2 linked regions of the Lytechinus pictus genome follow. The protein of the gene in region 1 binds, or shares a complex with, the protein of each later gene. Links are inferred from orthologs where the notes say so. Each region holds a gene or a part of one and is shown in the gene's direction. Other genes may lie near its edges. The genes, in order: glutamyl-tRNA(Gln) amidotransferase subunit B, mitochondrial-like; glutamyl-tRNA(Gln) amidotransferase subunit C, mitochondrial-like.

The links.
Region 2: glutamyl-tRNA(Gln) amidotransferase subunit B, mitochondrial-like (region 1) and glutamyl-tRNA(Gln) amidotransferase subunit C, mitochondrial-like share a complex: the UniProt entries of both Drosophila melanogaster proteins name them as parts of the heterotrimeric GatCAB amidotransferase (AdT) complex. The link is inferred for Lytechinus pictus from reciprocal best matches to the Drosophila melanogaster genes GatB and GatC.

The regions. Positions count from the first base shown.
Region 1 is NC_087249.1:39,943,553-39,959,433, reverse strand, and holds the start of glutamyl-tRNA(Gln) amidotransferase subunit B, mitochondrial-like, read left to right. Parts: upstream 1-9,858; 5' UTR 9,859-9,873; coding exon 9,874-10,013; intron 10,014-11,014; exon of another isoform or gene 11,015-11,110; intron 11,111-13,794; coding exon 13,795-13,948; intron 13,949-15,881. UniProt on the Drosophila melanogaster protein: Allows the formation of correctly charged Gln-tRNA(Gln) through the transamidation of misacylated Glu-tRNA(Gln) in the mitochondria. The reaction takes place in the presence of glutamine and ATP through an activated gamma-phospho-Glu-tRNA(Gln).
Region 2 is NC_087246.1:15,550,687-15,565,801, reverse strand, and holds the start of glutamyl-tRNA(Gln) amidotransferase subunit C, mitochondrial-like, read left to right. Parts: upstream 1-8,137; 5' UTR 8,138-8,227; coding exon 8,228-8,326; intron 8,327-8,471; exon of another isoform or gene 8,472-8,571; coding exon of another isoform or gene 8,572-8,625; intron 8,626-11,174; coding exon 11,175-11,219; intron 11,220-11,758; coding exon 11,759-11,925; intron 11,926-12,654; coding exon 12,655-12,758; intron 12,759-13,454; coding exon 13,455-13,525; 3' UTR 13,526-15,115. UniProt on the Drosophila melanogaster protein: Allows the formation of correctly charged Gln-tRNA(Gln) through the transamidation of misacylated Glu-tRNA(Gln) in the mitochondria. The reaction takes place in the presence of glutamine and ATP through an activated gamma-phospho-Glu-tRNA(Gln).

The DNA.
Region 1 (15,881 bases):
ATGGGATGCACGCACAGGATCCTCTACATGCACAAGCACACGATTGCCTTCGACATGTAAGATTTGCTCTTCATCATATATATGCTGCACTTTTTTACCAAGTTACTATATGTCCTAAATTTCTTTTTATTTGTATTTTTAGAATGGACTTCAAACCAAAAAGGAAAAACTTATAAAGTGGTTTGTGCGTGGATATTTTACAAATTAGAATAACATGGATTGAAAAGGGAAAGGCGGGGGCAATGCTTAACATATTTTCATTTGGAGGGGGGGGGGCAAGACATAAGGGAACGTATATTCATCTGGTTATTATATGTCTTGAATTTCTTTTATTTTTATTTTTAGAATGGACTACATACGAAAAAAAGGAGAAAAAAACTTAACCAGAAGCCTATAGAGTGTTTCGTGCGTGAACATTTTACAAATTAGAATAACATGGATTCAAAAAGTAAAAGCTGGGGCGGCGCTTAACATATTTTTATTTGGAGGAGGGGGGGGGGGGGGTAGGCAAAGACAATAGGGTACTTATATTACCAGGTTATAATATGTCTTAAATCTCTTTTTTTAATAAGTATTTATAGAATGGACTACAAACCAAAAAAAGGAAGAAAAACTTAAGCAGAATTAATAGAGTGTATTGTGCGTGAATATTAAAAAAAATTAGAATAACATGGATTTAAAAAGTAAATCTGGGCCGGCACTTAACATATTTTCATTTGGAGAGGGGGAGGCAATAATAATAATAACTTCAGTCCACATATTACCCTAGTCCCGTGTCTATACTGCAGGGTGTCTATGGCCAAATACACGGTAAGCGCCCTGGGCTCCCGCCAGCGTAGCGGGCGGGAGCTCCCTGGGTTACCTGGGCCTAACTTAGAGCAGCCAAGACTGGCAAGAGTATTCAAGGCAATTACATACGAATAACGAATGGAATGCGGTAGACCATAGATTGTATAAATTCACGCGCCGAATTATATTACATAAACTGAAATTGTATTATTCTTTCTGTATTAATACTCACATGTTTTATGGAATATTGATGGTACCGTCGGGGAACAGTGTACTACTGAACTGAAGTGATTTTCTCGCACAAACTCCGCATTCGGTGCGCGCGCGTACATTATAATTGCAATTAACACTTTATCGCGAACTTACCCGGCGAGTTACACGTTAAGCTCAGGTCCTCTTTAAGACCTTAACATACGTCTGTATCGGCGTGCCGGAGCTTGATTGAGTCGCGTTACATGTTATAGGAGGGATGTTATTGGAATATGTGAAAGACGTTGTATGATTTGCGATTGTCGGATGTGATAATTATGTACATTATAACATATATAAAAAATACAAAGGGAACCTGATTTCGTGGGGGTGCTGCCTATGGAAAATAACACCCCCAGCACCCCCGCGAGTTCCCAGGTCCCTGCTATATAACCCACAATATTCATATGATAACCATTTCATTTGTTCTCGTCATCAGGCTGTGTTTTCAATTAAACCATTCCTTTCAGAAACTGCTAGAAACACATTGGGGAAAGGACAATTAAAGGCCTATTATGTTAGTGTTTTGGCGAGACAGTTTTTTTCAAAAATGTACCCACACGCGACACGTATGAGCCCCTATTATTTTACCACCCTTTTGAAATTGCTTCGTTCTCTGCTTAAATTTGAATATGATATGGTATTAATTGATGTAAATTAAGTGAAGATGTATAGGTGTTTAAAAAAAGAAAAACTATTTGAAGAGGCTGGTATTTAAAGGGAAATTCTATGCGGGAACAATCAAAGCAGAAGGCCTATTGTAGGCCCACATAAAAATTTAAAGCCTGCGGGCTTCGCGCTAGCGTGATCAGATTTCAGTAACTACCGGTATTTGAATTCATGTATGACCTTTTGGGAGATAACATTACGTACGTACGTAATAAATACTGCGTACGTACGTGATAATACTGCGTACGTACGTAATAATTATCACGTACGTACGTAATAATACTGCGTACGTACGTGATAATACTGCGTACGTACGTAATAATTATCACGTACGTACGTAATAATACTGCGTACGTACGTAATAATTATCACGTACGTACGTAATAATACTGCGTACGTACGTGATAATACTGCGTACGTACGTAATAATTATCACGTACGTACATAATAATACTGCGTACGTACGTAATAATACTGCGTACGTACGTAATAATTATCACGTACGTACGTATACTGCGTACGTACGTGATAATTTTTTTTTTTTTTGGATGTCAAAAATGTCCGGTTTGGGGCTTCGTACAATAGGTTACATTTATGGAAACTACGAATGTTAATGGAGGAATTAAAATCCCTCTCAAAATTTGTTAATGAAAATTAAAATAAAATATACATGTCATGTACATGTATCAAACAAAAAAATACACAAGAAATTAGAGTGCGTGTGACATAATCGGTTCTGTAATTTGCACATTGACCAAGATGAGCATATAATTGTTTTATAAAATTAGGCAAATTTCTCAATGTCAAAATAGTAATTTTTTGAATTTTGAATCAGTTTTTATGAAATTCTCTGCAATACTTTATTTTTCTTTAAATTCAAATTAATTTTTTGGTGGGGTGGACTTCTCCTTTACTCTTTGCTTGGAATAGGGAATGCACATTAATATTTATCCACGATCAAAATTGTCTAAACATATGCAAATCAGTAATTGGACACATGCTCACTTTCCTTTCATCCAGGCCACTCCCTCACATCCACCAGGTTTACAGTCTTATAGCAAAAATTATGAATTAATTATAATACCATCACACCATAGCTCCATGATCACACAACATTCATACAGTGCTTCACAACAAATATTTCACTTCTGTTCATATATGCAATAATTACTGTGGAAAACAAAAACAAGGCGTAACCACATTCAAATACCGTTTAAAACGACAAATATATTATACCTTTCGAAAAAAAAAATTGTGAACATACATGGCACTTAACCTTCAGCACATTAGATAACATATAACAGAGTTGCTTGAGAACAAAATATAATTATGGGGCATTGCAAGAAACTTATGTTCAATTGCAAATCAACTACATGTTTGTGTTTAATCAAAGGACTTACCCTTAATTTTGGAATGTGTGATTGAGTAGAAAGTTTCTTGCAATGCATTAAAAATTTTCTTTGGTTTTGAATTGTGAATTTTTATTTTTGTCAAGCTGTATTCCTGTCCAAGTCAGTATTCTTAGTCCTCCCCAAAACTGTGCTCTAATTTTTTTGTTTCCAATATCGATAAAGATCAATTTTCTGTTGTATCATTATCAGTCCAAAATTTGCAAACGAAAAAAGGGCTTTGTCCAAATCATGGTCTGACCATTATAGGACATGATGGAATCTCCCAGAATGAAGAAGCAAGCAGAGACCAGAGTCAGCAAGTATGCAGATCTGTGTGTAGAAGAGACAAAAAAGAGAGAAATAGTCTAAATTATTCAAAGTATGAATTATGTTACATGTAAGTCAATTAAGAGACTAACTAAGTACTGTCTGTGACAGCCACAATTTTTTTATTTGAACAAAATGGTTTATAAATACTACTGAGTACGGTAGTACCAGACTTTTTACTTTGACTTTAAACTGTTTATAGTCTCTAGAGTAGACTGTCTGAGCTAATCATCATTTAATTCTTAACCGCAGCCTGGGGCAAAAATCATCATGGGGCTCAACTTCGACTAGGAAAAAGGTTAACAATTTTCAACATAAATCAAGAAATATCTCAATCTATAAAAACTTGATGGAATTCGGAAACCTGATAATCATTTGAATAAAACTTTAGAAGGGATCTACTTATCAAGCTTCGTTTATATTATTATTAAGTCTTAATTAAAAAAAAAAAACAAGTCCACCGTCCACAGTCACAAATATAATGCGAGCCATCTGCCATCATTACAGAAGTTTCAACGTATGGGACCAAAGGCGAAATTCTACCAACCCGCGACGAACGTAATTTTGGCATTATTTCGCGCCATCGTGGAGTGAACGAGAAGGTTACTTCCGGGTAAAACGTAAATTTCTTGATTTTTAGGGTATCATTTTCTCTAAAATAAAAATATAAGGTGAGTTTGCGTCAAGTTGGTTCTGACATATTTTGAAAAGTGACTTTTCTTCTTTCTAAAAAATCCCGATTCAAACAATTTGGTTATGTAGCAAAGTCAGGAACCAAAAGTGAAATTCCGACTACAAAATCGCAGTTAAAATATTACTAAGATAAGCATCAATTAAAGAGGTAAAAATGGTAGGTTGAAAATGTCGAAATATGGAAAATTATATACCAAAATGTAGATGAAGGTCTTGAGAATAACTTACCACAATTCGTTTCGACGTAAACTGAAGTTAGCGACCAGTGCAGAGCTATAACTTCAGCCCCTCCAATTCAGTGGGAAAATCAAGCCAAATTGATCGCACGTTTTCCTTCGGAGACCGCTAGAGGGCCGCTGAATAAATCTCCGTGAATATGCTCATTATCGCGCGAGCTGCGGTCTGACTGTCTAATCACTCATTCATCAATCCATCCACCCATCCATCCACCCATCCATCCATTCATTCATCTTTTGATTGATTGATTGATTGGCTATTTGATTGGTTTACTGAGTGAATGATTCATTGATTAGTGGTTGATTGATTCATTGATCGATTGTGATTGATTATTTGATTCATTCATTCATTCATCAATCCATCCATCACCCGTCCACCCACCCACCAACCCATCCATCCATCCATTCATTAAGTTATTTTGACATTTTTGTGCTCAAGATCCTCTGACCCTTATTCTGAACTTCGAAGTCATGGTTTAACTATGGATAGCCAATTGTGAGACAAGGATCTGTTTGTCAGCACATTTGGTGCTCAATTCATTTTGAAGTATTTTATAGTAATTTCTTATATAATTTCCTTCATCATTATTAATGAAAGAACATGGTAACAAGAAATTTGTTGGCTTCCTATAATTTTGCCACAACTTCGAAGTCATGGTTTAACTATGGATAGCCAATTGTGAGACAAGGATCCGTTTGTCAGCACATTTGGTGCTCAATTCATTTTGAAGTATTTTATAGTAATTTCTTATATAATTTCCTTCATCATTATTAATGAAAGAACATGGTAACAAGAAATTTGTTGGCTTCCTATAATTTTGCCACAGAATTTTTTTTTTAACAACAAGTGCACACCTACTTAGCAAGAATGTGTGTAGCATTTTTCATTTATTTGAATGCGGGATAAAAACATTGTAGATCAATTGCCTTGTTTATGGGCGTAAGTGTTGCGGCCGAGGATAGAACCCTGGACTTTCTATGTGCAGTCAGGCGCCTTTGACCACTCGGCCACGGCACCTCCATTTTGCCACAGAATTAGACCATGACCTCAGACTAAGTTAAATGGGGATTTCAGAATATTGTCCTTTGGGTTTACATTTCATCCCAACATAAACATTCAGTCAGCATGGGTCCCATTTCATAAAACCTGTCATTAACACATTCAAATTTCTACAGCCAAATTTACTATCAGCCAATCACTTTTACCTATGAGGAGTTTTTGTATACAAAAATAACCCTAAAAGCATTGCTATTCAGTTCTTCTTAATTTCCTTCATAATTCTTGAATAGCGCCTTGAGCACTCTACAGAGTGGATTCGGCGCTATAAAAGTCCAATATATTATTATCATTGTTGTCACTGGCATACAATTGATAGTAACCAAAGTTCAAACACAGGAGCCAATCCTGGGGCATAGATCCACCTCTGAATCTTAATCCATTTGGGGAGGGTTTGTGATAAGGAGGGGGAGGGGGTTTGGGATTGCTGGTGAGAAATATTGTAATATGTTATTGTCTTAAAAATTAAAAAAAAATGTATATATTTTTGTTATGACAGGCGGAGGTGATACTGCGACGTGTGCAGCAAAGTATAACACTGAGCATCTCGTCAGCCATGTCAGTACTGGAGGCGGGGCTAGTCTAGAGCTCTTGGAAGGTATGTTGTATAGAAAGATATAGACTCAGGGGGGGGGGGGGTGGAAGCAAGTGAGATGCACCCCACCTATATCATGAAAATCACCCTTTGCCATCTGCTCCCTCTCTATCTTTACATATGCCAGAGGCATGAAATTCAAGTTTGTCTTTGAGAATTCATCTCGCTTTATTGTTTAAGTATTCTGTGCTCTGTTATTTACCAATTTGTAAGAATTTTCTTCATTCTTTTGCTTCATATCCCATACAGGCAAGAACCTACCAGGTATTGCTGCATTGTCCGACGTCTGACTACCTCCATCACCCTTTCCTACCAGTGCACTTTGACCCGATGCCATAGATCCTTATTGGTGGCAGCGGTGGGATTCATATCAAATATATTAGCTGGCCGATGCAATGCCAGGCAAGGTTGTATTTTGTGGCAGCCCTCAACGTTATCCTTTCCTCTTCCTGAAGTGTTTGTAATTGATACCTCTTCTATTAAACGCATTAATGTCCGGTCCGGTGTTTCATGAAATTACGAGCGACTTTATGCATTACATGTTTTGTTGACAATCATAGTTTGTATTCCACCAAAAGAAATATTCGGCAGAGCTGGGGACTACTGATAGTGACTGATTAAGTCTTTGTATCTGTCCGTGTCTGATGATTGCTTCAATAACTTAATGTGCACGCATGCAACCCAGAAGGTTTTCTGTGAAGTGATTAGCTAGTGTTTGAGTGTTGTCCTACACTTTGAAAAACTGTCAGTCAAACCAAATTCTTTGGTCAGTTAGATATTGCATTCTATTTATCCTTTCTTTCTAAAATAAAGTTAAATGGTAAAATTGTAGTATTTGTGAAAGGAAGGGGTTATAAAATGTAGGATTTCACAAATTTTAAATATATTGAGTGTAATGTCACCAGTATTTCAGATACTGCATTATGAACTACAAAGATTTTATTTTTTACAGCTTGTAATATAATTACATGGTTGAAAGTGATTGCAAAGCAGTCATACTTTGCTTATAGCACCTAAAAGCAATATGACAGATTCATCTTGATAATGTGATATATATTTTCGTGCAAAATTATTTTTACTTTTAATAATTCTCAAATTCTGTGTCATATGCTCAAAAAGATAAGGCTTGTCAGGGTATATTTCTAACAAGATTGTTAAACGAAATTGTTAATATATCGAAAATCAGTTTCTCCAAGCTAAAGTTTGATGGGCAAGCCTTCTAGATTGGAAGAAGTTGAAATATTATATGTTCTTCCTGAACTGATTAAATCATACTTTATCTTTGTTTTGTTAGTCATGCCATTGTTTTTTGAGGTGGTTAATACTTAGTATGCCATCAGTAAATACATACAATTATGTTAGCAAAGGATGTTTTATTATTATACAAGAAAATTTATTTTAGTGTCAGTTTTATGCATCAAGGATGTGTGATTTCATTGTTTGTGCAAAGCACAAATGTCACCATAATCAAGCCACCACAACATCATTTTGTAAAACTGCCTAAGTTCTTGGTTATCTTGGGAATTTGTTTAGTGGGATTATATTTGGTAATGTGCAGGTAGGCTGTGGAGATTTTCATAATGTTTAGTATATAAATGAATGTGAATCCTACAGAGCTGGGGCCCGTTTCATATAACTGGTTATAATACCAAATTTTTCAATAACAGTTTAAAGCAAATTAAATCATTCGATTTGATTGGCTGATTGTAAACTTGATATAGAAAATGTGCATTTGTTATTTTAACCACTCTTTATGAAACCAGACCCAGAAATGAGACTATGATGTGGTGTAGATGAGATATATCATAATAAATGTGAAATTATATAAAAATAATGTTTTTATTGATTTCTTCTCTGATAGCATTTCCCTTTAAAGAAGTTAGTAGTATTGTGAGTGATTTATTTAACTCTCCAACAGAAAAAAGAAAAGAAAATGAAATCTCATTGATAGAGAAGACCTACATTTGACATGTGAAATTTTTGGAAATTCCATAAAGTGTGTACATAATTATGATCCCTTATATGTGGGAACTTCCTGAAACAATTTGCCTCAGTTTTTCAGTGAATATATAATAATACCAACATGCTTATATAGCGCATATCACTGCCAAATGCGTCCTTATTAAATACTAAATTGGATATTAAATATGAAAAGTTGGGTGACGCAACATTTGCTTCTGCGACAATTGTTCTTTATTTTCATTTCGTCTAAGACGTAGTTTTGGGGTTAGGGTTGCAATAGGGTTTTATGTTAGGTTTAAGGTAGGGTATAGTGTTAAATCCAGGGTTGAAGTTAGTCATTTGATTAGTGTGTTGCATTTATAGAGCAAATGTCACTGTAACAAATGTCGTGGAACCAAAAGTTGTAATGCTTTCAAATAAATAAATACATGTAATAATAAATGATATAGGATTTATATAGCACATATAACCACCTTAAGTGCTCAAGGCGCTCCCATATTAACCTGGCTTAGCTAGTCTACCAATTCTGGTGCTCACAGCTTTTTGAGGAATTACCATCTGCCGGTACCCATTTGCGTTCCTCACCTGAGTTGAGTGCAGCACAATGTGGGTAAGTCATCATGGTTTCAGAAATTCATGAAGTCAAAGTTAAAATGCAGAAGAACTGTGTGTGTGGGGGCCGGGGGGGGGGGGGGTGGGGATTGGCAATACCAACATTTTGATCCTTTCATGGAATTTCCCTTCTGATAATATATCTGGCCTGCCAACTACTTTTTTTCCTGGAGTTACCCCACTTTTGAGATTTGTTATCAACCAGCAAAAGAGGAGCACTCCGTTTTTCATTTATTTAAGATAAAAAAAAAAATTGGCCCGTGTACATGTATTTGTGTGGCGGGGTATGGGTGTGAGAGTAATATAGTTTTTCAAAACGTGTAATTTCTCAATATTTAAATATAAGAATGCTAAACATGTCTTGATTAAAAAAAAAAGTGAGGGAGACACACCTGACATCGAGCAGAAAAATCTGCGCCGTGCGATTATACCTTTTTTTTTCATTTTCAAATGTTGGCAGGCCTGATAAATGGGGTTTTTCATAAAACTAGCTGTTTGTAAGTAACTAATGACACATGACTGGCAACGCATCAGGTCTTGTTTCATAAACACTTGTTACAATAACAAACGCACAACTCCCACATCAAATTTATCATCAGATTGAAGGATTTCAGTAGCTTTATTTAACCGTAATTGCAAATTTGTTACAAGTTATGAACTGGGCTCTTCATCCTGCACTAAAACTGAGAGATCCCAATTTACATGTTTTTTTAACGTAATGGGTATGAACTCCCTGTTGCCCTTAGATTATTGACAAATTTTGAAATATGCATTCAGATGCTGGTTGACAAGAGTTTTTGTCTAACGTTACAATAATCAGATTTCAACTTTTAGCTAACGGCCGGCCGGGGGCTGACGGAAATCTTGAGAATTTGATGTGGCACTTAAGAACCTGTTCTTAGTCATAAGCAAAGTCATGTATAACTAACAACCCTTAGTAATAGTCCGAATTGCTACACCCGCTTTTCTTTTCTATTTTTAAAGATAATACAAATTTTCATCATAAAATAAGTAAAATATTTTTTTTAACCAAATAGAATTACAAAATTAAATGCTCAATTCTCTTACTTTTCATCAGTTGGCTTCTGTGTTATCTTTATTTTGATAGTTTCGCTCTTTTTTTTTTGGGGGGGGGAGGGGATAAATAAAAAAAAAGCACAATGCTAAATACTTTAAAAAAGGGGGAATCTTTAATTGCTAAAAAGTAAACGCATAAATTATATTTGGGAACATTCTTCCCGTGCATTCCTCATGCGTGCGCGTACAAGCGCAAGAGGGCGCTCTGCACATTCGATGTTTTTAAAGATGGCAGCTTGCATGAGCACATCGTGGAGGTTTTCTGCCTTCCAAAAACCGGTTGTGATTTCCTTGAGAAGATCTTATAGTGGTTGGAGAGCAATAAAACGAAGAAATTATTCTGTAACTTCTGATTGGTTAGTATTAATCATTGTGAAGTCGTCTGACTTTGCGTGGAATTGCACCGAGACAATCTCGGCTCGGCCGGGTCGCGGCGCTGCAGTGCACGGCCGGCAAAATGAACACAACCGCGGGACGAACGAGGCCGGAGCTGTCGGCGTCGCTAACTCAAGAGCGCCGCTGCCGAATGAAGGCGGCGTGGGCGTGGCCTAAAGTAAAGGCTAAACCTAACCCAGGGGCAGGGAGCGCGGGCCGGCGCCCAGGAGCTCACCGACCGTGTATTTACCCATACTCACGGGACAAGTGCACCCATGGGTTCATATCGTCTCGCGTGCGAAAGAATATCAGTCATATTCACACGACACATCCAAAATATACTGGGCTTTTGCCCACATAAAATATCACGCATAATCTGGTAGGCCTATTACAAATACAAATGGTATTTCACATTCTGCTATGAGTATGAGTATGACACTTACCAAATCATTTAGATCCTTCCGTGACTTCTCCTTGAAGTTTCTTTTAAAAAATATGTAGGCCCTATATTTTCTTGATCTTTAGTGAAGATTTCACGGAGATAAAAATTGGTTGGCGTGGATATCAATTTTCTCCTAAAGAGGGCGCGCGATTTATATTAATATTCATATCAAAGACATGACAAGGGAAAGACTAGGCACCTACACTATTTTACACGCAAATCCACGCAAGGTATTACGCGAAGTCCGTGAAGTGTCCAATCTTTTCATTGTATAGACTTTGGTATACCGTATTATTGACGTTCGTTAAAGCTTGTTCAATTGTTGTACTGCTGGTTTCGTTCCAGGCATGTGTATTTTTCTCAATTTTATTTTATTAGTCATCGTTTTAAATTAATTGCAAAAAAGTGTTATCATCGCCAATAGTAATCTTGAATTATATTTTTGAACTGTATTTCATTTATTGGTGCCCATAATTAGTAAATTAATCATAAGAATTGCGCATTCAAAGAATTTAGACAGTTATACTTATAAAATTACAGAGGAGCTGAATCAAGGTTGTGAAATTTATTAGCGCCACCAACGGGCTTCCTTGTATTTCCGTAGAAGAGACAAACGAAGTCACTTGCTAGGCCGAGGTAAGCGAAATTTGCTCTTTTTATTATAATGAAATTATTTCAAAATCATATGTATAATTTGTTTATGTATTGCTACTTACCGGAAAGAGCCCCGGTGCTTAGCGAGAAGGAGTTTCGGCAGATATTACTTCAGCAATGAAGCGATGTTTGCCGACTACTTCGAAATCCAGGGTCAAACACGGTCCCTTGTACGAGGTTAGTACATATACTAACCTCGTATTAGTGTGAGTGGGACAAGGGTAGATTATGGTCAAAATATCTAGCAAGATAAATTGTGAAAACAGAAATTATGCACTTACCACGATTATATGGATGAAGGTCTATCGAGTGGTAGAATCCTGACATCGAGGCACAGACTGGAACCTCAAAAACAAAAAGTTCTCTCCTACCCCAGTCTCGATCGGCCATTTTTGTTATGAATCATAACAAAATGGCCGATCGAGACTGGGGTAGAAGGAGAGAACTTTTCGGTTTTTTGAGGTTCCAGTCTGTGCCTGGATGTCAGGATTCTACCACTCGATAGACCTTCATCCATATAATCGTGGTAAGTGCATAATTTCTGTTTTCACAATTTATCTTGCTACATGTAGATATTTTGACCATAATCTACCCTTGTCCTGTGAGTATTGGTAAATACACGGTGAGCTCCTGGGCGCCGGCCCGCTTCGCGGGCCGGCGCTCCCTGGGTTAGGCTAAACCCTGACATTTGTTAACAATGATTAACGTTAGTCAGGTCCTAATAAGCATGGCGTTTGGAAATTAAAATTCATTTGCGCTAATAGCCTTCAGCAGTTCAGGCTACAGACTGCAGTTGCACTGGCCGATTGCGAGTCTTACTTAGTAGGGTGTCTGGAGAATTTTTTTTTTTTTTCTTATTTCAAGAAAATATCAAATTTTCTTTGTGAATTTGAAGAATAATGACCTTCACGGCTTCAAACTGACAGAAATTGAACATTTTTTTTTTAATCCAATAATTGGCTGCAAAAAAGAATGAAGTTAGGTCAATTTTCAGCATTTCTCTGCCATAGACTGTGTAGTTAAGAAATGGACACACACAAATCCAAATTTTTAGCTTCCGAGAGCTGTTATAAATTTATTATTAATGCCAAAAACTTGTCCATGAAGAGTCAAATATGATTTTTCATGCGCTTTCTGATGGTATGATTTTTATAAAGACTTGGAAACCAGATCACAATGAAAAATTGCGACAAAGTGAAAAAAATTGTGCATAACAGAAATGTCATTTTCCCATAGAAAACGCATGGGGAAATGGCAATCTCAACACACACACAAATAAGGGTTTGCAATTTATCTCTAAATCCTTATTTCATATAATCCTATAAACTTGTCCTTAATGTCAAAAGAAGCCCCTGAATTTTCTCTTTCCATACATGCCAAACAAGTTAATCAATTCAGATCACATTTTTCTAGCAGCCTGAATTTCCCGAAAAAATGTGCCATATTTTTCCTAAAATCAGCCTGTTTTATGCTGACACTTTTCAGTGTGGCTTCAGACACCCTACTCTTAGGCCCGACTTAGGCGTTAGGACTTAGGGTCTTACTAGTAAGACTCTTAGCGCAAATTTCCCCACTGGTTAATATTACTTAGAACGATAATAATGATCGAGCTAGGACTAGGAGCCGAAATCCAGCCGTTCCCGATATTTGGAAAAGCGGTTGGGAATATTGTTTATTGACCTTGAAATGTGACTGAGAGACTTGCCATGATCAGATGACATTTGCGAACAATTTCTTGTGGGGAAATTTGCTCAAAGTCGGCCCGTACGAAACTGCATCTACGCCAAATTTCAAAGATGCCTGGTACTTGTTTGCATCCACTCAAGGTTTCATTATCATCCTGCCTGTGGGGAATCTACAGGTAGGACTGGTATGCCAATGGCAATGCTGTACGCAGCACACAATTTAAAAAATCATTAAAATATCACTTTTGTGACCAAAAATACTAATTTCCATAGTCCATACAGTTGCAATTTATTTTTCATTAGTAACTTTTTTCACCAGAGCGCTTGAAAACTTGAATTTTGGGCATATTTTCGTGTACGCCCTCTATATGGCAAGACAATTCTCATTTTTCAATCTCTATTTTTAATTAAGAAAAAATAATTTATAGAATCGAATTTACTTTAGAGCCAAGTTATATGATGAATAGCTGTAATGGAAACTGACAGTGCCAAAAATCAAGCATTTGTCCCAAAGAAAGAGAGAAAATAAGCCAAACATTGCCAACCTTATTTCACCACACAGGGAGTAGTAATAGAGAACAGGGTTATATCATAGAATGAGTGGTTTGCATCAAGCACACGTCGCCAAAATGACAAATGAAACTGCACTGTTCAGTGTTAAACTTAAGCTAGGAATGCGGACTCGGGGGGGGGGGGGGGACCATTTCTTCTCATTTTCCTCATCGGCCTCTTCCTTCTCATTTTTCCTTCTCCATGTCCTTTTCCTCTTGCTTTTCCTCTTGCTTTTCCTCTTTCTTCCCTTTCCTTCTCCCCTGTCTCCTCATTGTCCTCGGCCTCAGTCTCTTCCTTCTCATTTTTCCTCCTCCCTCTTTCTACTCTTCCTCCCTCTCTTCCTCTTTCCCCTCTTCCTCTTTGTTGTCTTCTCCTCAGTAGTAATATTTTTAAAGAATTTTCATGTTTTTGATAATTTTATTTCTATAGTTCATTTGAAGGATGGTCCAGCATGGTTGGCCTTGAGATTCATGCCCAGATACTCTCCAATACCAAACTATTTTCTGCTTCTAAGGCCCAATTCATGGCACCACCAAACTCGCTAGTCTCTTTTTTTGATGCCTCTCTGCCAGGTACTCTTCCGGTTAGTATAGTTGGGAGGCTTATTTACTAGCAATTGGTCTATTATTTGTCGGGTAGTATTAACTAACACTCCGGGGGGGGGGGGGGGGGGGGGGGCCACTTCCATTGACGAGTGGATACCATGCGCGACCATGGGGTCTTGAAAAGCACCCTAAACACGTATTTTCCATGTTCTGAAAATGCACCCCTTGACAAGTATTGGCTTGTGAAACCCCATCCCTTAACAAGTATTGGAAACAAAACTTTACTATTGGCAAGTATTTCCTGAATTGAACCCCTAAACAAGTACAGCGATATTTCAATTATGTCGCGGACGTCAGTCGTCGGTTTCACCTTTACCTACATCATTGGGTTTAGTACAGCCCCCACGTAGTGTTGACTCTTGGGGCAAAGAGTACATCCTTTATAAAACATATTAGTCTTAATTTTTCATACCCTCGCAAATTTTGCCCTAAACACGAAGCTTTCCCAGCGAAAATAGATACCCTTTTTTCATTATTTTAGTATTTTTGACACCCTTATGTTACGTACGTAACGTGCCCTATCTTGAAAAAGACATCATTTTTGTCTCACCTGCATAGCAGAGTGAGACTATAGGCGCCGCTTTTCCGACGGCGGCGACGGCGGCGTCAACACCAAATCTTAACCTGAGGTTAAGTTTTTGAAATGACAGCATAACTTAGAAAGTATATGGACCTAGTTCATGAAACTTGGCCATAAGGTTAATCAAGTATTACTGAACATCCTGCCTGAGTTTCATGTCACATGACCAAGGTCAAAGGTCATTTAGGGTCAATGAACTTAGACCATGTTGGGGGAATCAACATCAAAATCTTAACCTAAGGTTAAGTTTTTGAAATGTCATCATAACTTAGAAAATATATGGACCTAGTTCATGAAACTTATACATAAGGTTAATCAAGTATCACTGAACATCCTGCATGAGTTTCACGTCACATGACCAAGGTCAAAGGTCATTTATGGTCAATGAACTTTGGCCGAATTGGGGGTATCTGTTGAATTACCATCATAACTTTGAAAGTTTATGGATCTGATTCATGAAACTTACACATAATAGTAATCAAGTATTACTGAACATCCTGTGCAAGTTTCAGGTCACATGATCAAGGTCAAAGGTCATTTAGGGTCAATGAACTTTGGCCAAATTGGGGTATTTGTTGAATTACAGCCATAAATTTGAAAGTGTGTTGGTCTAGTTCATAAAACTTGGACATAATAGTAATCAAGTATCACTGAACATCCTGTGCGAGTTTCAGGTCACATGATCAAGGTCAAAGGTCATGTAAGGTCAAAGAACTTTGGCCACGTTGGGGGTATTTGTTGAATTGCCATCATATCTCTATAAGTGTATTGGTCTAGTTCATAAAACTTGGACATAATAGTAATCAAGTATCACTGAACATCCTGTGCGAGTTTCAGGTCACATGATCAAGGTCAAAGGTCATGTAAGGTCAAAGAACTTTGGCCACGTTGGGGGTATTTGTTGAATTGCCATCATATCTCTATAAGTGTATTGGTCTAGTTCATAAAACGTGGAAATAAGAGTAACCAAGTATCACTGAACATCTTGTGCGAGTTATAGTAGTTTTCAAAATCAGCACTGCTGCTATATTGAATCGCGTGATGCAGGTGAGACGGCCAGAGGCATTCCACTTGTTACATGTTTTTTTTGGTCGCGCATGGTATCCACTTGACAATGTAAGTGCCCCCCCCCCCCCCCGGGCTAACACTACATCAGCTACACCCATTGGCCCTAATTCACAAAGGTAATTTTGAAAACCATAGGTTTGAACCCATAGTTTATGCAGATTTCCTGTATGAAATATGCTTCAGTTATATTTTAAAAAATGTACAATACTGATGCGCGTGTTAGTCACAGTGCTCCAAATGGACACCAGTTGCCATGGTTGAGC
Region 2 (15,115 bases), on another chromosome or scaffold:
TGAATTCCATGAATATTGACATGAAAAGTATATAACTAAAGTATAAGAACCAAACAGAATTTCCGTTTTATTTACCGGTAAAACGGAAAATCACTGTCCCTAATAATCATATCCTAAATAATATACCAATGATAACAATTAAAGCAACAAAATATAACACTTTCATATTCATGAGCATAGACTTAGTCACGTTTTCATCTCGAGTCAAAGGCCGGAGACACACTCACAATTCACATCATCATGATCATAGTCAAGTCCATTCATTCACTTCCAATACAATAACAACACCGCTGCAGCAGCACACATCACCACCACACAAAGCGCGCACCGCAATCTAGGCCAACTCTCAGCGACAGCATATTGAACAGATATAGCCATTTGGATCAATTTCTGATAAATTCGTCGATTTTTCGTAGCAAGAAATCAAAGCTTCAAAAGTTGCTGAACAACCAACAAAGTGCACCAAAGTGACCGCAATGGTCATACAACTTCAAATTGCATACTGAATTTTCACACTATTTACCTGAAGCTGTGTTAAGTTGAATTCTTTCCAATATTGAAACATCGACGCGACATCTTTCGCGGCCATGTTGATCGATCTCGGACAAAGAAACGAACTCTCGCCGTTTTAATACACAGTTCAATATGCGGGGAAGTCTGGCGATATATGCACGAAAGCTTGACGGGCTCACGAAGAAGCCATACCTAGCAAGATACCATACCACGTACACACACTTTCCCAAAACACGAGAGGTGTGGCGAATACCATGGACACGTCCACTTGTACCGACGGGGGAGCAATATTTTTTAAGCGTGATAATTGATACACTGTCTGAGACCACGACGATTTATATTTTTTATATATATATTTTCAGGCTTTATAAAAAGCAATACCATGAATTATTAAAAGAAATCAAATTCATTAAAATCGTATTTTGATCAAGTATACTGTTGGTACCTTACGGACATCCCTATAAAAATAAATTCGTCTGACAAAAATGTTATTATCGAGTCGTGTCATCAATCAACACAACGTGTTTCTGTCATTGTCAAAAAATGGTATTGTGAAATTCTTGGCTAAGTGTATGATGTCATCCTTTCGGTAATCCGTTATTCCAATACATTCGATAACTCGATTGATCCCTTTTTCTTTGGGTTTCTGATATTTGCTTTTACTTTACTTTATTTTGATTTATTTAGCTTAAAAGTATAGTTGGGAAAGACCTGAATGGATTTTAGCTTTATATTTGTTTACAAACAAGAATTTAGTTCCTGTATTGACGTAATGACTAAAAAAAATGAGGGGGCCGGACATACGGAGTCGGAGTACAGGGGAGTACAGGTCAACATTTTTAAAAATATTCTAGCGGGGTGAAGTTAGTGAGCAAGTAAAATTGACCTTAATTTCTATTTTTAAAAATCGTACTTTGAGAAAGGTTCTGGAGCCGTGTCATAAAGCTGTTCTTAAGTTAAAGGGATGGTCCGGGCTGAAAATAGTTATATCTTAATACATATAGAGTAGAATTTACTGAGCAAAATGCCGAAAATTTCATCAAAATCGGATAACAAATAATAAAGTTATTGAAGTTTAAAATTGAGCAATATTTTGTGAAAACAGTCGTCATGAATATTCATTAGGTGGGCTGATGATGTCACATCTCCACTTTCCGTTTTCTTATATTATTACATAAAATCATAATTTTTTCAATATTTCATACTTGTGTGAATAATATGTCTCTCTTAAAATGAAATAAGTTGCAGCAATAAATATCTAATGCACTAAATCAGTTGTCAATCCAATTTTTCTAGTTCTTGGAGGAAAAAATTGAATAAATTAACCTAATTTCATATAATATAATACAAAAGAACAAGAGGGGATGTGACATCCTCAGCCCACCTAATGAATATTCATAACGACTGTTTTCACAAAATATTGCTAAACTTCAAAATTCAATAACTTTGTTATCTGTTATCCGATTTTCATGAAATTTTCGGCATTTTGCTCAGTGAATTCTATTCTATTTATTAAGCTGTAAATACTTTCAGCCCGGACCATCCCTTTAAGAGCGACTTTGAGAACGACTGGTGAACCCTTCTTAAACGTGCTAAACAATCGCCAATTCAATACCATTTACCACAAGAAAGGATCACCAGTCGTTCTAAAAGTCGCTCATACGAACAGCTTTATGAAACACCCACCAGATATAGTGTTCAGGAAATGTCAAATTCTTATAATTTTATTTCTTATTATTCTCCATATTTTTTTCTAGTCGTGAAAATCTCGCGGGGTCCATATGCCCCCAAGCCCCCCCCCCCCCAATCTGTACGCCAGTTGGGTCAACAGCAGTGGCGGACCAAGGGCCGGGGGGCATTTCCGGTCCGTGCCCCCCCCCCCCCCTTGAGAGTCATAGTCAATTTTTTCTAATGTAAATATGTCGTTCATACCTTTTTTTTGTCGGACAAAAATGTTGATGAAACTCGGTCCCCAGGAGTGCGTTTAATATCAGTAAAACTTGACCAAAGAAAGTCATCACTCACAAATTAAGGGCGTTAGTCTCCAGGAATAATGACAAGCCGAATAAGAACTGTTGGACAGATGCCTGTCGGAAAAATGAGAAAATTTTGGGTCACCCACCGATGTTCCATCATAAGGCCTATAGTTCTTGCTCTGCATGTCTTTGATTTCCCCACTAACTTTGTCGGTAAATGTCAAATTGAACATTTATCGTTAAATTGTCGTTGTTATTTTTATTCAAAGGTTAGGAGCTCTCTGTATCACCTAGATCGAATGGATCGAATGTCCTGGTTCATGATCGATTTAAAGGGGAATCCAACCCAAATAAAAACTTGTTTTCAGGGGAAAAATAAAAATCAGACAAGTTGATAGGTGAACGTTTGAACAATATCGGCCAAACAATAACAAAGTTATGAATTTTTTAAAGTTGTACAATTTGGTAATCACTACAGCCATGTCCACATAATTATGTGATGGCATAGTGATGTAAGGCAAGGACTACTCTTCCATGTACTCCAATACATAAAATGGTTAAAGTGTCATTTTTTCAAAAGTTTTACTTTAAATTATATTTTTCTTTCATGAGGACATATAACAATATGCTACCTGTGTTATATTTTGATTACTGCCCCAGGGGAATGGGTACTAAGATGAAAACCACAAATCCCTGATAATAAAGTACATGGCCTATGGGAAAGTTGTCCTTGCCCCTTGTCATAATTTAGGGTCCTACTTACTCAGTTGCCAATTTGAAATCTACATAGTCTTAGGGATATTAATTTTAAAGCAGCCATAACTTTTTTCTTGCTTGTCCAATTTCTTTCAAACTTTCACCATTTTTTTAAATTTATTTTTCTCCTTTTGACACAACATTTTATGACCAAGGCTGGATTCCCCTTTAATTTATCGCCAACAAATTTCAGTTCTCGCTTCGCGGCGGTGTACGCATGAAGTAAGTGAGAACCATCATCTTCTGCACATGTTTCTCCATGGATAATTATGTTGAACAGTGCTTAAGAGATTTCCTTTCCGGTCAGGTTATATAAATTTCCGCTCGCGCTTCGCGCTCGAATATATTTAGATACACAGCTATTCCTCAATTTCTCACGCTTCGCCCTTACATTATAAAAGCACATCGGCCTTCCGTTTCATTAATACAAAAAGTTCATAATTAGAATGTTTTGGGATTTTTGTTTGTTTGATTTTGCTATGTCACTATTCGAAATAATAGCTTGCATGCGCTCTAATTGCAATCGCAATGATTATTTTATTGGTTTATTTATATTATTGTTAATTCTTTGTTCTACAAATTGTTATATGTAGGCCTATTCTTTGTGTTGTATCTTCATTTGTCAAATAATAATAATGATGATAATGTGATACAGATCTTGTTCTTTATTTTAAAAAATGAAAAAAAAAGTGCTTGTAACGTTCAGTTGTCAAGCCGGGTGTCAAAATTTTCAGCTCGTGCTATACACGCTCGCGTTGTGAAATATGAATCCCCTTTATGAGTCACTGCATGCAAACATTTCTTTTTAGGTCCCTTTTCAGGTCAGAATATAGAAAACAAATAGCTCGCGCTTCGCACTTGCATTAATATTGTTTGATTAAACAAATATACTGTCCATAATGGCAAAAAGAGTTCGGCTTCCATGTCGTATAGAATAATAATAATAATAAAACTCTCATTGTCTTTATGTACACCCTTATCATTTAATGATTACATTGCTTTGAATATCCTGTTTAAGGTCTTAATATGAAGAAAAAATTAGCTAAAAATTGCATATAACTGTTTGGTAACAAAATAAGCGAACTTTTTTTTATACATATTTGAAGAGATCACATGTAAAAGGGTTAGGTCCATTTTTCATCAAATTTGATTTTTATGTCTTAATGTAAAGATTTTTAGTAGCTCTATAAGATGATACCGAAGAAAAGTTGAAATTCCTATTAAAAAGTGAACTAAAATGGCAAAGAAAAATCACTTTTTTTTTTCAAAGGGGTTAGGTCCATTTCAGTTTAGTTGCAAAAGGGGTTATAGGTCCACACAGATTTTTTTTTGGAAAAGAATATCATAAAAAATATAAAGACAGGTAGATTTCTCTTATACCCAATTTTATGTTCTCATGGTAGGGCATCATGAAAATTCAGTTTCGCATAAGAATATGGCAATATGGGAGAATTAAAAAAATGATTTTCTTGGAGTGGACCTAACCCCTTTTGCAATTAAACTCTTCTGAAGAACTCATTTGTCAAAAGGGGTTAGGTCCATTTTTCATAAATATTATTGTTTTCTGTCTCTAAACCTCTAAATTTTCAGTCACTCTGATGATACCAAAGACAATTTGAAATTCAAATGAAAACGTGAATGAAAGTGGCAAAGAAAAATATTTGTTTTTAATCAAAAGAGATTGGATTAATTTCAGTTTACTTGCAAAAGGGGTTAGGTCCACAATCCTCCATGGATAATTATGTTGAACAGTGCTTAAGAGATTTCCTTTCCGGTCAGGTTATATAAATTTCCGCTCGCGCTTCGCGCTCGAATATATTTAGATACACAGCTATTCCTCAATTTCTCACGCTTCGCCCTTACATTATAAAAGCACATCGGCCTTTCGTTTCATTAATACAAAAAGTTCATAATTAGAATGTTTTGGGATTTTTGTTTGTTTGATTTTGCTATGTCACTATTCGAAATAATAGCTTGCATGCGCTCTAATTGCAATCGCAATGATTATTTTATTGGTTTATTTATATTATTGTTAATTCTTTGTTCTACAAATTGTTATATGTAGGCCTATTCTTTGTGTTGTATCTTCATTTGTCAAATAATAATAATGATGATAATGTGATACAGATCTTGTTCTTTATTTTAAAAAATGAAAAAAAAAAGTGCTTGTAACGTTCAGTTGTCAAGCCGGGTGTCAAAATTTTCAGCTCGTGCTATACACGCTCGCGTTGTGAAATATGAATCCCCTTTATGAGTCACTGCATGCAAACATTTCTTTTTAGGTCCCTTTTCAGGTCAGAATATAGAAAACAAATAGCTCGCGCTTCGCACTTGCATTAATATTGTTTGATTAAACAAATATACTGTCCATAATGGCAAAAAGAGTTCGGCTTCCATGTCGTATAGAATAATAATAATAATAAAACTCTCATTGTCTTTATGTACACCCTTATCATTTAATGATTACATTGCTTTGAATATCCTGTTTAAGGTCTTAATATGAAGAAAAAATTAGCTAAAAATTGCATATAACTGTTTGGTAACAAAATAAGCGAACTTTTTTTTATACATATTTGAAGAGATCACATGTAAAAGGGTTAGGTCCATTTTTCATCAAATTTGATTTTTGTGTCTTAATGTAAAGATTTTTAGTAGCTCTATAAGATGATACCGAAGAAAAGTTGAAATTCCTATTAAAAAGTGAACTAAAATGGCAAAGAAAAATCACTTTTTTTTTTCAAAGGGGTTAGGTCCATTTCAGTTTAGTTGCAAAAGGGGTTATAGGTCCACACAGATTTTTTTTGGAAAAGAATATCATAAAAAATATAAAGACAGGTAGATTTCTCTTATACCCAATTTTATGTTCTCATGGTAGGGCATCATGAAAATTCAGTTTCGCATAAGAATATGGCAATATGGGAGAATTAAAAAAATGATTTTCTTGGAGTGGACCTAACCCCTTTTGCAATTAAACTCTTCTGAAGAACTCATTTGTCAAAAGGGGTTAGGTCCATTTTTCATAAATATTATTGTTTTCTGTCTCTAAACCTCTAAATTTTCAGTCACTCTGATGATACCAAAGACAATTTGAAATTCAAATGAAAACGTGAATGAAAGTGGCAAAGAAAAATATTTGTTTTTAATCAAAAGAGATTGGATTAATTTCAGTTTACTTGCAAAAGGGGTTAGGTCCACAATGATGATTTTTTTTTTAATATATAGAAAAAAATTGAAGACAGGTAGATTTCTTTTATTCCCATTTTATGTTCACATGATAGAGTAGTACATCATGACAATTTAGTTTCTCATAAGAATATTGCAATAAGTGAGAATAAAAAACATGTTTTTTCTCGGAATGGTCCAATGTGGACCTAACCCTTTTTGCAACTAAACTCTTCATTTACGTTTTTATTAAGCGAAACTTTAAAATGACATAACATTCTTATTTCACATCTGATTTTGATGATATTGTCAGCGTTATACTTGCAATTATTTTATATATTGATTCAAATCAACAATTAGGGTACCTATAGCATTTTCTGATGTTATTACATTAAATCGTAATAAATTCATATTTTCATACGCGTGTGTATAAAGTCTGCCTTGGTAAAAATAAAAGGTACAGCAATGATTTTCTTACATATAAACTTAGTTGTCAGTCCAGTTTTTGTTTTCATGCTTTGAGGAAAAAAAATGAATAAATATAATTTCATATAATAAAATGTAAAGGAATATGAATAAATTATGACATTAACCTGCTCATTGCATATTCATGAGGACATTCGTAAAACTTCTTCATCGAAATAATAGGCTTACAAAATGCTGACATAACCTTGTTATTCCTCGTCCAATTTTCAGTGTTTTGTTTGTCTGTTTTCTTAATCTGTTCAAATCATTTATCAGCCTACATGGAGTACCCATTTAATGGATCCCTTTTCAGGTCAGTATATAAATAACACTTCCATCTCGCGCTCGCATTTATAAATGTTTAGTCATGCACATGCAGTTACAAAAAGTGCATAGACTGTCCAGTTTTCAGGTTGGAAAGTAAACATTTTCGGATGGCGCTGACATCAATCGTTCAGTTGCATGTATATACCCATCCTGTTCATGGTTACAAAAAACTGCTTAGAACTTAAGTTTTAAGGTCGAAATATCAAACATTTTTAGCTCGCGCTTCGCACTCGCATTTTTGATCAGCGGTGGATTATTCACGAGTCATTGCAAACAATCCTTAACAAGCCCTTTTGTAGGACAGTACATTAAAAATGTTCAACTCGCGCTTCGCGCTCCCATTAATCGTTTAATTGATATATGCATATTGTTCATGATTACAAGAAAAGAAGAAAGCTAAGAGGCTCAAAACTTCAGTCTTTATTTATCACTACCCCCTTATTTCGATATACCCAAACTACAATGCGGGGCAGATGAATCCCGAGATGAATACAGCAATAAGACTCTCAATATTCATTTATATGTCCTCCAAGACCGAATCCGATTCATCCTAGTTATAGACATGTAACAACACCCCTCATAAAACAACAAATATAAGCGGCAGATGGAGGAAAATGTGGATGAAAATATTTTTTTTACCCCTTCCCTCATTGGCGAAAGCTGGATCCGCCTCTGGGCTGGAGGCTGATTGACTTTGCAAATTTCATACACAATGCCAGTTCCCTGTGCTGTTTTTATTCATTTTATAACAAATATTCATTCATTTATTTCTGTTTGTTAGAGAATTTATTTCCGTAATCTATTCATTCATTTCCTTACGGCACCCGGGATAATGGGGATAAGGCCTATATGAATTTTATTTATTGCAAAAAGAAAGAGCTCTCTCTGTCCCGTTCGTGTCGGCGGCCCCGTTCAGAAAAGTTGTTTAGCGCCATCTCAGCCGATAAATAAATAATTTGGGGAACTACCACCAAGACTATTACCGTACATTTCGGAAAAGAACTGCTGCTTGAACAAAAAAGTGAAAAATGTCAGTGATTCACATCATATCCAGATTTGTAAGGTCACATTCTGTGCCAGTAGCAAGAAGATTTTTCTGCAACAAGTATACCACCTCTAATTCAAAGGTAAGTTAACTAGTCAGGCCTAGCTCAGGCACATCAAACGCAGCCTGCAGCTGGCGCTGAACTGATTTAGCAGTCACCGCGCCGCTATCCTGCAAGCCACTCTACGCCCGCCCGGCCCGATGGCAAGCGAGCGCCGGCCGCTGTTATTCATAGTTTTGTTGTAGTCATGCAGCGCGCGGCCTCCTGTGGCTGTGGTGTTTGGGAAACATGTTATTGTCGACTCACTCATCAGTTGACATGTGATCATGAGTCAGAGTTTCCACCTTGAAGGAAATTTCCCGAATTCTGGATCATTTCAGGTAATTTTGGGGAAATAAAAAATTTCAGGAAATTCAGCTAGGGAAATCAGAAAATTAAATACAACTTACAAGTAAAGTTACTTTATTAGTTACAATTACAGAATCGTTTGCCCCATATGTAGCTCAAAATTTTCTGCTCACGCTTGCTCGTGTTTCATTAGTTTGTTCCTATTTCAAAAAAGTGTGTGAACAAAAATAGGTTAAACCAATTTTAAGCTCGCTGTATTGTCAAATTTTTGTTAATAAATATCGAACTTGAAAATTCCAGGAAATTTATTTTGGATCTGTGCTGTGGAAATACTGTCATGAGTTATTGATCAACTTGGTCATGAGAAATTAATGGTGCTAGTCATGCTAGTGCAGTTGTGGCTTGTGCGCCTGTACCTCAAGTGATGTTTGTGTAGGCTCCACTTCACTACCGCTACACTACGCTACTCCTACTCCTACCTGAATATCAAGGTGCAAAGCTCACTCTGATACTCCGAGTGACAAAGGTGTTACTTTATGGGGGAAAAATATAAAACTCATGCAACACGATGACCTTACAATTCATTTGTAACAACTCTTACAATTCGCAAAGTTTCACTTCTTTTCCACACTTCTAAGTTTTATCAGTCTCAAAATTGGTGATTTAGAGTCAGTATCGGTTTCCTCACATATATTAATTCACTGCCGATTCCAAAACATCGCAAACGCAGATTGCGCATGCGCGGAAATCGCAACTTAATTCATTAATATGAATATATGATAGGACAAAAGATCGGGATCATTTTGCATTTGCATCAGATCTCGATCTTTTGTCCTACTGAAGGTTTCAAGGTTATTGGAAGATGGCACGTCATTAAAAAATAGATGGTGAACTGGGGGAATTGAGGTCACTGAATCTGTTTTTAGCACCTTCAATCTAGTCTGCTGGGCAAACCCTTCACTCGAGTTAAGGGTCTGAATGTGCAGCCTACTCATGCCTTGTGTGCTGAAGGGTATTGGAACAGCAAGTTTTGTATGTGCTAGTCTTTGCGTGGAGGCACACTTATTGATCAAAGTTCCAATCAGGGTCTGTGCCTGCAGACTACCTTCAATCTCTGTAATAGCTAACTATGTCCTGCAGCATGTGCAGGGGGAGTGAAAAAAAATTGTCCTCAATAACGAATACACTCTCAATTTATCAAGAATGATTTGTCTCAGTTTGTGAGGGTGTCCACGTTTTCTTGGACAATCAACACTTTTTGGCTTTACTAGTACTGAAGAGGCAAAGTCAGTGGAAAGTTTTAGAAATAGGCTTGATAAATTTTGGTGGAATGAGAGATTAAAATAGGCCTACCACTAATTCCAAATGCACATCAAGTTTAAATTGAACCATAGAACAGGAGAGTAGCAATCAACCATGACGTTAAGACCGGATATCTACAGGAGAAATCCTATTCATCCGCATCCTGATGATGTGATGAAGCTTTCAGGCTAGTCTACATCTTGCTTCATTATTTTCAAAACTTCCGGTTATTCATAAACAGGTATTTTGATGAAAAATGTTGAATTAATGGATTTAATGGTAAAAATCAAGAATTAAATTTTGGGTATCTGCCTGTACAGAGTGAAAGAATGAGATTAATTGATGGAGGAGGTGTAGAGAAGCTTCACTATACCTCCATAGATTTATTTTTACAAGCCAGCACATTCAATCACCACAATAACATACAAACAAATACATTGTAGGCAGTGTCACTCACCACAGGAAAAAAACAATTTCAACTATAAAATCCCATCTGAAAAGCCAAATTTTGCCACAAAAAATATGGAATCTGCACCATATTTTCAAAGCATGTGGCAGGTTTCTTTCAGTTTGAAAGGGTCTCTGAATATAATGCAGGCTCACGGTGCAGCTCAATGCAGCGACTCTTTTAAAGGTGTGTATCAATCAGATAGTATATGATTATTCAGGGGCCACGGAAGCGGGGGGGGGGGGCTGGGGGGGCTTCAGCCCCCCCACTTTTTTCCCAAACAATGTACAAAAACGTAAAAATGACCATACGATTGTGATTTTTTGCATGGTCAGCCCCCCCACTTTTGGCTCAGCCCCCCCACTTTGAAAACCGTTCCGCGGCCCCTGTTATTTACATCCAACTTCCAAGTTCCAACTTACAGATGTATCTTTACTCGATATGAAGGTCTCACTTATCACTCCCTGAATACTTTTCCAATCCAAAAAAAAACAGAAAAAAGAGCAGCCAGTCTGTCCAATGCAAAAGGTAGATTGAAAATTGAGATTGAGATTATTGATGTTTTTGAGAAAGCACACATGACATACAATGCTTTTCGTTGAAGATGTGATAGATGAATCACAGCTTTTTTTTGTGCTTATGTTTGAGATATATGAAGGCTTTTAAATATTTTTTCTCACTAATCGTCTCCATGCCAGCTAAATACACCAATTTGTTGAGTGACATCATCATGTTGAGTCAATGCAGTAATAGCAGTATCATCATTAAAATGCATTCGCTGATGTTAGAAACGTGTTAATTCCCTCTAGTTTATTTTTACTTTTTCCATAGATTCCTGAGAAACCCCAATGGAGAGATACAAAACAGAAAAAGAAGGTAATAATGTTTTCAGAATGTTTGTGAAGAACAGTCACTAACCATGTCAGTGTGTATTAAAAAAAGTTATTATTTTGAAATAGTTGTGATAATTATAATTAAAAATATTAAGAAATATATTTAATGTCAATAGATGCTGTATTATCTCCTTCTTCATTTCCCAACTCAAAGTAAAGATTTTGATAATTCTTAATTAACAGTGACAAAACTTAAAATCTTGCTATGATACCTGAAAATAGCTCAGATATATGAGCTGTAATAATCTGAAAATTGTTAACTATTTTAATCTATGGAAATTGTGTGTAATTTATGAAAAATCTGAGCCATTATATGAAAATGATATCACCCTCTGTTAATTTGCAGTTCTTATTTTTGTCGGTGTTAGGGTTTCTGAGTAACCATAATGTCATGATATTGATTTTGATTATATGCTCACCCTTGTGTTTTTAATTCACCACTCACAAGAGCATTTAGTTGTAATAGATATCGCAAAATCGCAAAGAGTGTTTCATTATCAATTGTTTCTTATCTCCCTGTAGGTTAAGGTGGATCCTCAGACCATTGAAAACCTAGAGAGGTTAGCGCTTGTCAATTTTAACAGTTCAGCTGGTGTTGAGAGACTGGAGCATGCCATCACCCTTGCAGAGCAACTTGATGATGTTGATACCAGTGGAATACAACCGATGGCATCGGTCCTTGAAGATACGTGAGTATAGTGTAGCACAGCAAAACATGCCATTATAAAGATAAATCTTGATTTATAATAGGTTGTTTAATTGATGTAGCCTTATGTGACTTTTCCTCTTGTTACTATATGTTCCTTTTTTTCTGGATTGATATACCCATGTATATTACTAATCAAGTAATATACTTTACTGTTCATTTCCAGATAGGTTTTAAGATGTATTAACCTGACAATGTTGCATAATTTCTGTAAAAGTTGTTAGAGACAGTAGCATGGATAAATGGTCATTGCACTGCATCTGTGTTTGATGGCCATTGATATTTCAGCTTGAATATGTAAACAAGTACTACAAGAATACTCAGTAGCCTGGAGCAACCACAGCCCCTATGCAAGAGTGGGGCAGTGGCCATATATGTACAGATGATCAGGTATAAAAGACTGCAGCCAAAGAATATAGATAGACTATTAAAAATAGAATACAGATATTAAGTACGCTCTGTTATTGTGGTACATTTAACATATACAATATGCAGTTCCCCAGACTCTGCCCAATAGACCATAGCTGCCAAGGCCCCAAATTTACACCTTGTAGTCAGTTGCTTAGACCTCAATTTCAAGTTTTTGACAGGCACCCTTGTCAAAATATAATTTGAGTGCCTGTTTTGCAAGAAAGTTATATTAAAGAGCCAACTCCAACTCAGTTCAATTTATTATTAGACATTCTTTCATCTTGTGTTATTGTTTTCATAGAGAGTTATACTTGAGAGATGACACAGTAACTGAAGGCTACTGCACAGAGGAGATTCTCATGAATGCTGCCAAGACATGTGAAGGATACTTTGTTGCTCCTCCTGGTAGGTTAATTTTTCATCTCACTTTATTTTGAGTGGTAGGTTTGGGATCGATTGTTATCCCTTTGGAAATTGAGATATCAGATTGAGCTAAACCTATTTGTGACAAAGTGACCTCACAAAAAAATATTTGGCCCTGACTTTTATGCAGAGGCCTAAAATTGAATACAGAATGCATCGGAAAACAAAGAAACTCTACATGAACTCATCACTTCTTCATTGCGTCTTTTTCATTCATTCCATCTTACAGAAATTATCTGAAAGAAAGTTTAATTAAAGATCTGTAAATTAGCTCTTTTAGGGGAAATGTCAAATATCAAAATCACTGTATTTCCATGAAAAATATCAAAACTGTTCTTCATTAATTCCTATTTTTTGGATTACATAAATTCTGAATTAGACGTGCAGTAATGAAAACAAAGTGTTGTTGCCATTTCTAAGATAGCTGTTAAATAAGAAGGCTTAAAAAGGTTTCAACATAAACAGACACAAAGTGACAAGGACAGTGTTGCAGAGGGTCACTGAAATGGGTAGTAATGATGTTGAACATTGTTAACTGGACATTTTCTCATTTTAAACTCACAAATACAATTATTTTTCTACCTTTTATGAGTTGGGATGGGGAGTCCTGAAGTAATTTTCCCCATCTTTCTTGAAAGCAACTCTCTACTCTTGCATGATCACTCTTTATGTTCTTAGGAAACATCCCTCTGTCTTCTCAAGTTACCCAACAAGTTTTAGATGGAATCAGAAAGGATGAAGACAGATGACAGGAATCAAGATGGTTTGATAAAATTGAACATTTTTAAGTAAATCAGAGAACCACCATGATCTCTTAGTGTAAAGGAGCAAGCTGATAATAGAGACTTTTATGTTTTCTAGAGCAATATTTATATCATAGGGCTTGTAATATAAATGATGATCAATTCTAGAATGATAAATAACTCTGAGTATATGACAAAACTTTGACAGAAATTTACAATCAGTTGTAAAATCAATGGTATCTGTGTATGTAACATGCCCTTAATATAATCCCACCGCTGTCACCTTAACCCTCAAAAGCCCAGGGGGGCGGATTCTGCCCCCCTCTACATTTTTCATGATAAATCCACCACGCGAAATTTTTCAACTGCACCGCTCGCTGACCTTTTACTTTCAAATCTCGCACAACTCTTGAGACCAAATTTGCGATGCCCGGGTATGCGATTACGAAATAACGCAACATTATGTAAGTGCATGTCAGACCCAAAACTGCTCAAAAGCGTGAATTCATGTACAAATCCAATGCAAATTGTGTATTTAGCCAAAATTCATAAATGTATCATTATTTCTACTTTTACTGATTACACTTAATTAATTTTGTCTTGTTCATGATCAGAATTAAGTCTACAACAATTTCCATTATAAAAAACAATGAAAAACAGAAAGTCGATAAACAAAGAAATACATAGGAAATAAAAAAAAAACCAATACCAAATTTTGATCGGGATCCTACAAAGAGTTTATGAATAAAAAAATTGCAGTTTTGGGGCCATATGATAGTTGATTAGAGCAAATGTTTTACTTCATGAATAAATTAGCATAATTAATTCATGAAATGAAAAATCTTTTTTTTTATTATTAACCATACAGCCTTGTATATTTTACTGCACACTACCACTGTGCAAATTTTCGTGGCGCTTGTGCGATCGAAATGCCGAGATCTCAGAGGGGGGGAGGGGTGGAATCCGCCCCCCCCCCTCGGCTGTGATAGGGGTCCAAATAACCTGGCTCTTTTAAGAACAAGCAGGGTGTAATGGTTTTATCTTTATAAGTACCCTTATTTAAATTATTGTTTAACAAGGAGAAATCAAGACAATAGGACTCCAAAACCCTGCACTTTGTGAGTAAACCTTGAAAGGAATTATTCATGATACAGTAAAAATAATGCACAATTTGCAATTGAAATTGATGCGCAAATAGCATTGCACAGCGCGATGCTTAAATACGCTTACCTACTATGTAATTGGGTGATTTGACCTAAAATATTTTTGAAATCATCAAGAGCCTACAAACAAAATGCATGTAAAGTACAGTTGATACCAACTACTGAAAGATGGTTACTGGTTTATTTGTTTTTCATTTGTGTACAAGTGGCATTTGATATTCATTTATTGAGTGAGAGCCTAGATATATCAATATAATAATATTAATGTAACTAGATGTAAGTATAAATTTCATTAATATAATAATTATTATTACTATTAATATTATTGATTCAAAATGCAAGATCAGATTAGTAAATGCCCAAAACTCTTAAGTCTAGACAGACAACTTTTCTGGTTTTATGTGTGATAAAGGCAATTTCAATACAAGATTTT